Callithrix jacchus: one gene and its partners. The protein of the gene in region 3 interacts with the protein of the main gene of each other region in a pairwise test. Links are inferred from orthologs where the notes say so. Each region holds a gene or a part of one and is shown on either strand. Other genes may lie near its edges.

The links. The genes of interacting proteins can lie anywhere in the genome.
Region 1: the proteins of APIP (region 3) and NTAQ1 interact in binary tests that used the Homo sapiens proteins (3 or more experiments, as listed by UniProt). The two-hybrid records come from large-scale screens. The link is inferred for Callithrix jacchus from reciprocal best matches to the Homo sapiens genes APIP and NTAQ1.
Region 2: the proteins of APIP (region 3) and TNPO2 interact in binary tests that used the Homo sapiens proteins (3 or more experiments, as listed by UniProt). The two-hybrid records come from large-scale screens. The link is inferred for Callithrix jacchus from reciprocal best matches to the Homo sapiens genes APIP and TNPO2.

Annotation. Positions count from the first base shown.
Region 1 is NC_133517.1:73,988,315-73,992,406, forward strand, and holds the start of NTAQ1 (protein N-terminal glutamine amidohydrolase), read right to left. Parts: upstream 2,801-4,092; 5' UTR 2,693-2,800; coding exon 2,610-2,692; intron 1-2,609. UniProt on the Homo sapiens protein: Mediates the side-chain deamidation of N-terminal glutamine residues to glutamate, an important step in N-end rule pathway of protein degradation.
Region 2 is NC_133523.1:11,540,068-11,544,319, reverse strand, and holds the start of TNPO2 (transportin-2), read left to right. Parts: upstream 1-1,452; 5' UTR 1,453-2,236; coding exon 2,237-2,611; intron 2,612-4,158; coding exon 4,159-4,234; intron 4,235-4,252. UniProt on the Homo sapiens protein: Probably functions in nuclear protein import as nuclear transport receptor. Serves as receptor for nuclear localization signals (NLS) in cargo substrates.
Region 3 is NC_133511.1:100,238,247-100,241,746, forward strand, and holds part of APIP (methylthioribulose-1-phosphate dehydratase), read right to left. Parts: intron 2,265-3,500; coding exon 2,147-2,264; intron 1,825-2,146; coding exon 1,689-1,824; intron 1-1,688. UniProt on the Homo sapiens protein: Catalyzes the dehydration of methylthioribulose-1-phosphate (MTRu-1-P) into 2,3-diketo-5-methylthiopentyl-1-phosphate (DK-MTP-1-P).

The DNA of each region.
Region 1 (4,092 bases), on a different chromosome or scaffold from region 3:
TCACCAAGCACAGGAAAGGCACTACTGACCCAGAAGTAAACAGGAGGCATTCATTTCAAGTTAAAAAACCTGCAGGATGGCCGGGCACCGTGGCTCACACCTGTAAACCCAGCACTTTGGATGGGTGGATCACCTGAGATTGGGAGTTCAAGACCAGCCCAGCCAACGTGGTGGAACCCCGTCTCTACTAAAAATACAAAAATTATCTGGGCGTGGTGGTGGGCACCTGTAGTCCCAGCTACTGGGGAGGCTAAGGCAGAAAAATGGCTTGAGCTGGAGAGGCGGAGGTTGCAGTGAGCCAAGGTTGCGCCACTGCACTGCAGCATGGGTGATAGACTGAGACTGTCTTAAAACACACACACACAGCTGCAGGAAGTAGTGTGGTGTCCTACCTGATGTGTTCAGACAGGGTAGAGAACTGGTTCTCAGCAAGAGGTGATTTTGCCCCCCAACCCCTACAGGACACTTAGCAATGTCTGGAGACATCTTCAGTTGTCACATCTAGGGCTGGGGTGGTAACAGCATCTAGTGGGTAGGGGCCAGGGATGTTGCTACACATCCTGCAATACACAGGACAGCCCCCACAGCAAAGAATTTTCATGCTCAAAATGTCACTAGAGCCAAGGCTGAGAAACCCTGTGGTAGAGTGGTCATCTCTTACCATTCTTCTACAAGACTGCTTTACTTCAGTACTCCAATTGTACCAGCCTCTGAGCTGTTCCTATCATACTCACAGCAGGATTCCTTCTCAGAGCCTTTGTACCTGCTATCCTCCCTGCTTAAATAACCATTCTTCAAAAGTTGCAAAGCTCTCACCCTCTTTCTTCAGATCTCTGTTCAAGTTATCACCTGATAACAATGTCTTCTCAAAATATCGTAATAGAAAATAAGTCACCATGCTTTATCTTATTTTTCTCACAGCACTTACCACCACCCAAGCATTGCTTACTCATTTTTGTCGTTTTTTGTTTAGTTTCGAGATGGAGTCTCACTCTGCTGCCCTGGATAGAAGGCAGTGGCACTGGCTCACTGGAACCTCCACCTCCTGGATTCAAGCAATTCTCCTGCCTCAGCCTCCCAAGTAGCTGGGATTACCAGCACCCACCACCCTGCCCAGCTAATTTTTGTATTTTTAGTAGAGGCAGGGTTTTTGCTTGTTGGCCAGGCTGGTCTCAAACTCCTGGCCTCAAGTGATCCACCCACCTCTGCCTCCCAAAGTGCTGGGATTACAAGCCTAAGCAACCACACCTGGCCTTGTCTGCTTTTCTCTCATCAAAATATAACAAGAACTTCATGAGGGAATTTGTCGATTTTGTTCACTGCTATAGTCCCAGTGCCCAGAAGTGTACCACATATTACCAACTGCCTAACAAACATTTATTGAAAGAACGAATAAAACAATGAATGGACATTAGGGAGGAGAACTAAAAGGATTTAGAAGAGAGGCAGGGCAGAAAAACAGTGCAACAGTTAAGACACATGAACTTCAGAATCACAAAGAGGTTCCAGTTTCAGCACCACCACTTGCTAGATGTATGATCTGGGGGCACACAACAGCCTCTCTGTGACTCAGGCTTTTTATTAGTAAAATGAAGATAATGATAATAAAAGAATTTACCTCCTGCACATCGATGGAAGCACCTGGCACTGAGCCTGACATGCAATCAGGGCCAAACAAATGCTAAGCTCTTGGTGGCATTGGTTTAGTGACCAGCAGAAAGGGGAGGAGTAATTTTAGAGAGCCCTGAGGTTTCCTGTGCAAGGACTGGAAGCTGGGGAAGAAGCCATTACTCAGGCAAGAGCAGGTATCGGAATCAAAAAGTACCAAGGCAGGGGTGGTGCTTCAGCTGCAGAGGTGGCCTAGGACAGAAATGCAATGCGTGGACTCCAGGGCCAGACTCTGCCTGTAAATTCCCACTCCTTCATTCACAAGCTACGTGGCCCTGCGCAAATTACTTGTAGCCCTCTGTGCTTCAGTGCTCTCATCTTTTAAAATGAGGATAACAATACCTACCTCTTAGGGTGACTGTGATGCTCAGTGATTTATGTTACCCAAACTACCCAGAATAATGCGTGGCCTAAAGCAAGCGCTGTGTAAATGTAACCATTATTATAATGACAACACGGTTAAGATCATGGTTTCTGACGTCAGGGAGCCTGAACTGGATTCAGGGTTATTAGCTGGGTGACCTTGGCAAGTTACACCAAACTCTCTGTGCCTCCATTCTCTTCCAAAATTAAAATAGCCTTCACCTAAGTCCTAAACCCCACAAGCTTCAGCAGAGTAACTTCCAAAGGTTTTCAGAGCTCCACCCCTGCCTTGCCCCCAAGCAGAGATCTGCAGAGCAAATCCAACCCACAAGCACCAAGCACAGGAAATGCACTAACGACCCTATGATTCCGGAGAATTCCCAACCCCATCCAATAGCCCACGCTCTACTCAAGAGACGAGAGCTGCCATTCCTGCTCCCTCCTCCCGCAGAAACTGTAGAACCCGCCGGTCGAGGCCTGGAGCGCCCGCGAGAAGGGGCCGGGAAGAGGAAAGCCACGGTTGCGACTCGCGGCCCAGGAGCCGGGGAAACCCGGAGGCTGCGCCCGCGTCTCCTCACCAGTAGCAGCTGCTGTAGACACAGGCGTCCCGCGGGGGGCTGGCCGGCTGGTACTGGGCGGCAGCGGGGCCATTACCCTCCATGGCCGGCTAGCTCAGCCAGGGCCCCAGCCGCAGGAAGACCGACTGGACCTGACGTAGCAAAGGAAGGGGCTGGCGTGCAGCGGCCCGCACGCGCACCCAGGGCGGGATGAGCGGAGCGCGGGGCAGCCGGGGCAGTTTCTGGGTGGCGGGGCCAGGAGCGCGGTGGGGCGTGGCCAGCAGCCTGAGTTCCCGGCGCGGGAATCCCGGGACGAAGTGGGCGGAGCTCGGGGCGAGCGGCGCAGGTTCCTGGGAGGGTGGAGCCCGAGCTAAATGGGCGGGTCGGGGGTGGGGTGAGTGGCGCGAGCTCCCAGTGGACGGAGCCCCGAACAAGGACGACATCGTGGTTCCGGGTAGGCGGAGCCCGGATGGTGGGTGGAGCCTGGGGTGGGGAGGGGCGGGGCCGCGTGTTGTGGTGGGCGGAGTCAGGGGCGGGGTACCGGTGAGGTTCGGGAGAAGTGGGGTCTCTGGCGACGACCTGAGGAGGAGCTAGGCTTGGGCTTGAGTTGGGCCCTGAATAGCGCTTCGCTGAGTCTCCCCGGAGAGGCTCTTCCAACCTGGGATGCGCTTCTGCGCTGTGGAGGAACCAGGTGAGATACTGAAATAACAGAGGTTTGGGTATGAAAATCCACAATTCAGCACTCAGCCTGGAGTCCGCGGGAGCCCAGAGAAGACGTGGGGCGTGAAGGGTAATTCCAAATATGACCTCATCGAGGACGCTTTCCGAAAAGGATAGCACCCCAAATCTCACTCTATTGTAACTTAATTTTTTTAATTGGAAGACCTATATCTACTGGCTCGAAAAGGTATATTAATTCCCTGATACAGTAAATTTTAGAAGTTTAAAGAGTTCATATGGTATCCTTTATGTGTTAATCATATATTTGTTCAATTACTGGCAGTCTGGAAGAAAAGACATCATATTGTTAAAATAGTGTTTATCTCTGGTGAATGAATGGTATTAATATCAGGGACTTTAAGTTTCAAGGACTTTCACTTTACACTTTAGTCTTCTGAATTGTTCATATTTGCAATGAGCATAGATAGCTAATGGGGGTACACTTCTCATTATAAAAACTGAGATGTTACATTGATTTTAGCTATCCACAGTCGGATTCTCCAGTCTCAGGAGTCTCAAAGCTGATAAATCCTAAAGACCGAGCATAGTTCCTGTCAGTTACCAATTTTATTGCCTCTCAGCTCTTAATACAAACTTCCACATAGCCTCTATGCTAAATAACAACTCTGGTAAACGTTTCTCCTTTAAAATGAGTGGGAAACCCTGCAAGCTAGAAGGGATTGGGGCCCTATCTTTAGTCTCTTCAAACAAAATAATTAGCCAAGAATTTTGTATCCAGCAAAACTAAGCATCATATATGATGGAAAGATACAGTCTTTTCCAG
Region 2 (4,252 bases), on a different chromosome or scaffold from region 3:
CTTCAAGTGGCAAGAGGTCGCCCACTTTGTTATCGGCAGGCCAGGGAGGGGAAACCAGGACGTTCCAGGGTCTCCAACTCTTTCCCATCTGCTCCTCTTTCAAGAGAAGGAAAAACGGTGCCTTACTGTCTTCAGACATCGCAAGGATCACAAAGATTTCTTTCTTCATGACCCTGCCCTTGCCAGAATTTCCTAGGCTGTTCCACCTCATTCAGCTTCAGGTAGGGAAAGGGATTAGGCCTGGTTCAAAGTTTATTAGTTAATTTCGTTTTATTTAAAAATTGATATCCTTGTGGCTTTTTCATCTCCTTGTAAAAAACTGTCAAACAGTACTGGAAAATAATGCAAAACGTGGCGGAGGTTTCTGTAGGAACCCAGGTTGTCTCAAGCAGTTACTTTGTCCTGCCTGCTTTCCTTTGTCTCTGGGGTGTGAAGACCACGCTCAGCTCTTTCATTGCACTCACACCTTGCACTCACACAGCGTACTCCTCCCAAGTACCTCTGGATGGGGGAAGGGAGGCACATTTCAATTTTTTGTGGAGGAAGTGACAAGGAGGCAGCTGGTTCTGGCCGAGGGGTTCCTGAACCCATCACACACTGAAAGTCCCTACGCGCTACCAAACTCCTGGCTCCAGGTAAAAGAGCTTGCCGTCAGGTCAGCAGGAGATGCTGAGAAAACGAGACGTTGGGAGGACCGCCTGGCTAGAGAGGCCAAGGAGGCGGCAACTCTTTCGTCACGTGACCGGGCCTCGTCTCAGCCCGGGTTTCCCCAGTGCCAGGGCACGTGTGAAGGTTGGACCTTCCGATTGGCTCGGCGGGACCAGTTTGAACGGAGTACGGGAGCCGCGGCGGCTCACCTAAGGCCGCGTTTTTCTTTTTCTTTTTTTTCTTTTTTTTTTTTTTTTAATTCTCTCTCTTTGGCTCCCTCCTTTCGCGCGAGTCTCTGGAGAAGCCGCAGCGCGAGGCGCCGCCGCTGCTGCCCGGGGCCGGGTAAGTGGGCCTCACTGAGAGCCCGACCCTCTTGGCCCCAGCTTGCGTCGACCCCCGCCGGGCACCGGGCCTGCGCCGCGCGCGGCCCGGGCGTCGGGGCCGCGCCCGACCGGGAAAGGCCGGGAACCCGGTTGGGCCCGATCCTGTTGGCAGCGAGAACGGGCCGGGCGGGGGAGGGGGAAACCGAGCCGAGCTTGGGGGGTGGGGCCTCGGTGCCAGGCCAGGTCGGGGCTTCGCGAGAAGAGGGCCAGTGGGGCTGCTGGGGTCGGGCTGGAGGGGATCTGATTGGGGAAAGCGTCTGGGGACTGCTTGGGGCCTGATTGGGGGACGTCGCGAGGATCGGGTGTGTGTAGGGGCCTGTTTCGGTGGGCCTTGGTTGGGTCTGATTGGGGGAGGCCGCACTGAAAAGTTGAGCTGGGCTGGGGGAGGGGAGCTTTTGGGGCCCTGACAGGGAGGGGCGTCAGACTTCGGCTTAGAGGGTTTTCCTGGATCTGACTTCGAGGCATCGCTGGGATCGGTTGAGGGGAATGCCCCGGGGGGTGTTCACCCAGGCCAAACTGGGGGAGGCTGCTAGGATCGGACCAAGGGGTTACCGACTCGAGGTGGTGGGGGGCTCCCGACTCAAGGTGGTGGGGGCCTCGGTTGAACTTGATTGGGAGAGGCTGCAGATATCGTCAGCAGGAGTTACTGCTGACGGAGGCGGAGGGGGTTTCAGGGAGAGCTTGGCCAGACCTTATTGGGGAAGGCTACTGGGATCGTCCAGGGGGCTCCTAGAGTAGGTTGGGTGGGCTTGGCTGCCTCTCATTCGAAGAGGCAACGGAGACCTATCGGGGGACTGCTTTGGGCCTGATTAAGGGGGATTGTTAGAATCTGACTCGGGCACAGAGTGGGGTAGCTGGCATCCACTGAGCTTGAAGGGCCGGGACAGGGGAGGCAGAAGAGATCAGGACGATCGTCTTGGAACCGTGCATCTGAGGAAGCTCATAAATTGGACTAGGGCAGGCAGCCTCTGGGATCTGGTAGAGGTTAAGGGCCGGGTTTCTGGAGAAGGGGACTCTTCAGGGACTGTGCCTGCACCTAAGAGACCACGGGGGCCGGGGCGCTATCACGGTCTGGGGCGGGGCCCCTGGATGTGGAGGCGGATGGGCCCTCGCCCAGCCGCTGCGAGGGAGGCGGAAGCCTTCGGGCTCGGAGTCGGGGTCGGCGGTATGGGCCACCCTGGGACGAGGGCTCTTCGCTGGGTCCCATGAGGATCCGCCGGGCCCCACCGCCGCCGCCTGTAGTTCACTTCCACATCCCCCCTCCCGCGCTCCCGATCCCGCGACTGCGCGGCCGAGGATGGCGCAGCTGGCGGGGACCCCGCACTTTGGCGGGCGTGGATCGAAGGCCTCTGCCTGTCCGCCGAGGGCGTTCCCGTCGTCATGCGGCCACCGCGGCCTCAGGGTCTCCACCTGGGTCTCACACGGAGCCCCAGAGACCCAGCGCTGACCCCGGCCCCTACCCCCGCAGCTTGCCTTGCGCCATGGACTGGCAGCCAGACGAGCAGGGCCTGCAGCAGGTCCTGCAGCTGCTCAAAGACTCACAGTCGCCCAATACAGCCACTCAGCGCATCGTGCAGGATGTATCCTTCCTTCCTTCCGGGGCTGGGGGGACCGGGTAGATGTCTGCAGTTTCTGAAGGCCAGAGGGAGAAAGAGAGGGACAGACTCCCCGCCAGTCCCTAGATTTTTTTCTGCTGTGGGGTGGATCTGCCCCAGAGAAGAATTAGAATTCCTGGGTCCCATTTCCAGAGCTGCAGGGATTATTATCGAAAATGATGAAAATTCCTAATGTTCATTGAACACTAACATCTATTCCATTAACTATTAAGGTAGGACCTGGCCCAACAGCGTGGCTCATGCCAGTAATCAGAGCACTTCAGGAGGCTGAGACAGGTAGATTGCCTGAACCTAGGAGTTTGAGACCCCCCGTCTCCACAAAAAAATAGAAAAGTTAGTTGGGTGTGGTGGCATGCCCCAGGGGATGTTCCCTCTCCTATTTTGTAGGCTGAGGTGGGAGGATGGCTCGAGGCTAGGAACTGGAGGTTGCAGTGAGCTGAGATTGTCCCACTGTACTCCAGCCAGCCTGGGCAACAGAACCAGACCCTGTCTCAAAAAAAAAGATAAATATGCTTGGCGCGGTGGCTCATGCCTGTAATCCCAGCACTTTGGGAGACCTAGGCAAGCGGATCACCTGAGGTTGGGAGTTTGACACCAGCCTGACCAACATGGTGAAACCCCGTGTCTAGTAAAAATACAAAATTAGCCTGGTATGGTGGCTTGAGCCTGTAATCGTAGCTACTCTGGAGGCTGAGGCAGGAGAATTGCTTGAACCCAGGAGGCAGAGGTCGCGGTGAGCTGAGATCATGCCATCACACTCCAGCCTGGGCAACAAGAGCGAAACTCCATCTCAAAAAAAAAAAAAGATATATAAAGATAAAAATTTTAATTCTTGGCCAGGTGCGGTGGCTCACACCTGTAATCCCAGCACTTTGGGAGGCCAAGGCGGGCAGAACACCTGAGATCAGGAGTTTGAGACCAGCCTGACCAACATGGAGAAACCCTGTCTCTACTAAAAATACAAAAATTAAGCCAGGCATGGTGGCGAGTGCCTGTAATCCAAGCTAATCTGGAGGCTGAAACAGGAGAATCGTTTGAACCTGGGAGGTGGAGGTTGTAGTGAGCTGAGATCATGACATGGCACTCCAGCCTGGATGACAAAGCAAGACTGTCGCAAAAAACAAAAAAAATTAAATCTATAAACCGTGAGCATGACTCACCCTAAAATTTGGATTCCCTCTTTTTTTAAAACAAAGCAAAACAAAAAAGCACGGCCTGCTAGTGGGGAGAGCTGACTAGCAGCTGCCACTTTAAGTGGAGTGGGATTCTTCTTCTGTCTCCTGCTCTGACTGGGTCTTCCGGAGTGGATGGGAAACTCAGATATTCCACCCAACTCCTTGTATGAATTTGATGTTTCTGAGGTGCTCTGTGGGCTTATTAGGGGTTTGATGAGCGGGATCCCCCAGGAGCTGGCAGCCTGGTCCCAGGGGTCAGAGATGGTGTCACGTACATAGTGAGGGGCCTGGCCTGGGGAAGGCCTCTGTCTTCGAAGTCCCTTAACAGCCTGGCAGAAACTCAAACAACTCAACCAGTTTCCTGACTTCAACAACTACCTGATTTTCGTCCTGACCAGACTCAAGTCAGAAGGTATGCCCTCTGCTCCCT
Region 3 (3,500 bases):
TACTCACTACTGACTCACTGATTCACCTGGAACAATTTCCAGTCCTACAAGCTCCGTTTAGGGTAAGGGCCTTACACAGGTGTGCCACTTTTTATTGTTTACATCTTCTATGTTTAGATACACAAATACCTATCACTGCATTGCAACTGCCTACAGTACTTTGTACAGTAACCTGCTCTGCCGGCTAGTAGCCTAGAAGCAATAGGCTATAATATAGACTAAGTGTGTAGTAGGCTACAGTGTCTAGGTTTGTATATGCACACTCTGATGTTCACACAGTGATGAAATCACCTAGTGACAATTTCACAGAACATATCCCCATCATGAAGTGACATGTGACTGGGTAAAGTTGTTCTTTTTATAAAAGATTTTAAAAAATGCAGTAGGGAATTTTAAACTCCATCCTTTCTTACTTCATCCAGCTTTCATTGCCCTTCTTTTGATTAGACTTAGGATTCTCTTCAAATTCAGATAAAATAACACTGCCTCCTGAGCTGTGATAATGACTCTATTACTCATTTCCCAGCTAGGTCCAACAATATTGCAAAGGGCCAACATGCTTGGCCTCTCCACAAAATTGCAAAGGCTCTCTCTTATGTTCTCTTCCTCTACCTCACCTTTTCCCTCTTTTCAGAAAAACTAATTCTTCTAACCTATTTTTATTTCTTCACCAAAACAATAAAATTCATATGAAACTGATAACAACCATAAGCCCTCTTCTTCAGCCCCAGATATGGAAGAAGCAATCTGGGGCTCTACTTTCCTCAGTATGTACACTTCTCTTAATTTAAATATTTAACTTTTGTAAATAGGTGTTTCACAGTGCTGAGGAATGCTTTAAGCACACAATAAATATTAACTGAAATCAAATAAATTTCTCAGTGCACTAGTTTAAACATGTACATTCTATTACGTGCAGTAAGAATATGTTATCGCAGTAAGAACACTTTAGTAAAACTGGCAATGTTTTCCTCTAAACAAGGCAAGGTAGAATCAAGCCCTTTAGGAAATTAAGGGTGGAAGGTTCAGGAATGAGAATGCTAATAAACTCAAAAGAAATGCTTAGTTTGTCCCTGAACACTGAGAACATGTTTCCTCATGCCATTATGTTCTAGAATTATGAAGAATTACTACATTTTTGTGGGCTGGTGAATTTATTTTAACTCATCTAGAACGGTAATCTTCTATACTTACTATCCATATAGTAAGTATAAGACCTTTCACATTGAAAAATTCTAAAAATATAGAGACCTACTTTAATTAAAAAACTTATAAATATGGAAATATTTCAGAAATACTACATTAAATCGTCATGAAGTATAAACTTTAGTCACGGCTCACACTTTTGAAGACAAAGTAGAGGTGAAGAGATATCTGGGTGCCTCATTATAGGAACATAGTCTTTCCATCATGACAGAAATCTAAGCCAAGATTTTTTTCAGTTTACTTATACAAACATTTCATTATTCATACTGCTATTAATTTACCACGGCTGGGGTAGGGGTGGGAGAGCAGGGAAGACATCCCATTTGTGTCACGAGAATAGATCTGGAAGTATAATACTAAATGGAGCATTATTTAACACAGATCCCATGACAACTCATTATATGCATAAAATGATCAGTATTCTATTCGTCAAAGAGAAGGAAGAATTCTTTTCAAACTATTTAAGAAAAAGAAAAAAATACCTATAATACCCTCCGGAAGTACATTTCTTTATTCCTTTTATCATTTCTTGATGTGTAATTTTAAACTCATGTCCTGGAAAGAGAAGGGTGGCCATCACAGCAGCTTTAGAGTGGGTATGAATCACTGCACCTGCTCCTGAAGGAGGAAGAAGAAAGCCACATGTTCAATGAAGACTGAATTACAGCTTTTAAAGAAAAAAGTCCATATAGTTACACAAATATTTACATATGGTTATGGGATTATTTTTCCTGGCATGGAATAATAAGTTGGTGGTGGGCAGGAGGGTAAGTGGAATAATGGACCTTCCTCATGGGTTGATGTGAGCATCGAGTACGTTTATGCACTTCAAGTTCTTGCATATGGTAGGTATCTAAAATGTTAACTGAATAATAATGACCATTATTTAGAGGAGTCTACTCTGCAAATATTCTTTATGTTGAATACATTTTCTACATACCTCTCATTGTGTAAGCATTCATGAAAAGAGGAGTACACTGGCTTTTTTTTAGCTTCTTAGATGGCGAAGGTCCCCTTATGTCCTTTTCATTTATATCACAAACAAACATGTCTTCAGGCTATTTATAGAGGGAAAAAAAGAAGGCCATACAGTATCAATTAGAAATGCTCCTTTTCTTCTGTACATATATAAAAGAATACAAGAATTTATAGTATACACACTTGTGTATATATTTAGTGTACATATACACAGAGTGCTAATATATGTATATATTTAACTTACATTTTAAGTACATAATTATAGTTTCTCAAAATAATTTAGCAATTTTGAGACATAAAAAAGTGATTTCTACTTGGGAAAACATTCTCTAAAAAAATCTGAAGACAAAAAAATGATATGGAAAATTACTATGTATGTAATGATGCTACTGCTCAACTTTGCCCTATAATTTCACAACTATATTTCAGAGAGCCTACATAAAGAAGTTCCAAAGATGGGTGTTAAAATTTTTTCCCACATTTTATAAAATAAAAGCAAAATTTGAGAGTAAAATTTTCTAATCTTTGGAAAATTAGTACTTGGAAAGGTTAATCTCAGTAAGAATACTTGGAAAGGTTAATCTCAGTAAGATATATTTTTCTTAAAGTTTAAGAAATTATGTAGATCTACAGGTTTTTCTTTTTTTAAAAAAAGGGTTCAGGAGTATGTGTGCAGGTTTGTTACACAGGTAAACTGCATGTTACAAGAGTCTGGTATACAGATTATTTTGTCACCCATATAATCAGCATAATAACTGATAGCAGTTTTTCCATCCTCACCCTCCTCCCACCCTCCACCCTCAAGTAGGCCCCAGTGCCTACTGCTCCCTTCTTTGTGACCATGTTTACTCAGTGTTTAGCTCTCATCATAAGTGAGAATATGTGGTATTTGATTTTTCTGTTCCTACATTAATTCACTTAGAATAATGATTTCCAGCTCTACTCATATTGTTGCAAAGGATGTAATCTTATCCTCTGTGATGGCGGCATACTATTCCATGGTATATATGTACCACATTTTCTTTACCCAGTTTACTGTTGATGGGTATCTGATCCACAGGTTTTTCTTAGTAATGCATGTGTATTTCTGATTTGTAGCTTTCAGCTGCCAGAGTTTATTAAAAAACAGCATAAATGTTTTATTAACAAAGTAGCCTTTCTTTTTTCTTGTCTTAGAAGTTAAATAATTATGTGTTTGCTTTAACTAGATTTGGGGTATTATTGTGGCATTAACACAGAATGAGACCTCTCAAAATTTGAAACAAAGTTTCATAACTTAAAATTATAATAACTTTGGTATTATGAAATATGAATTT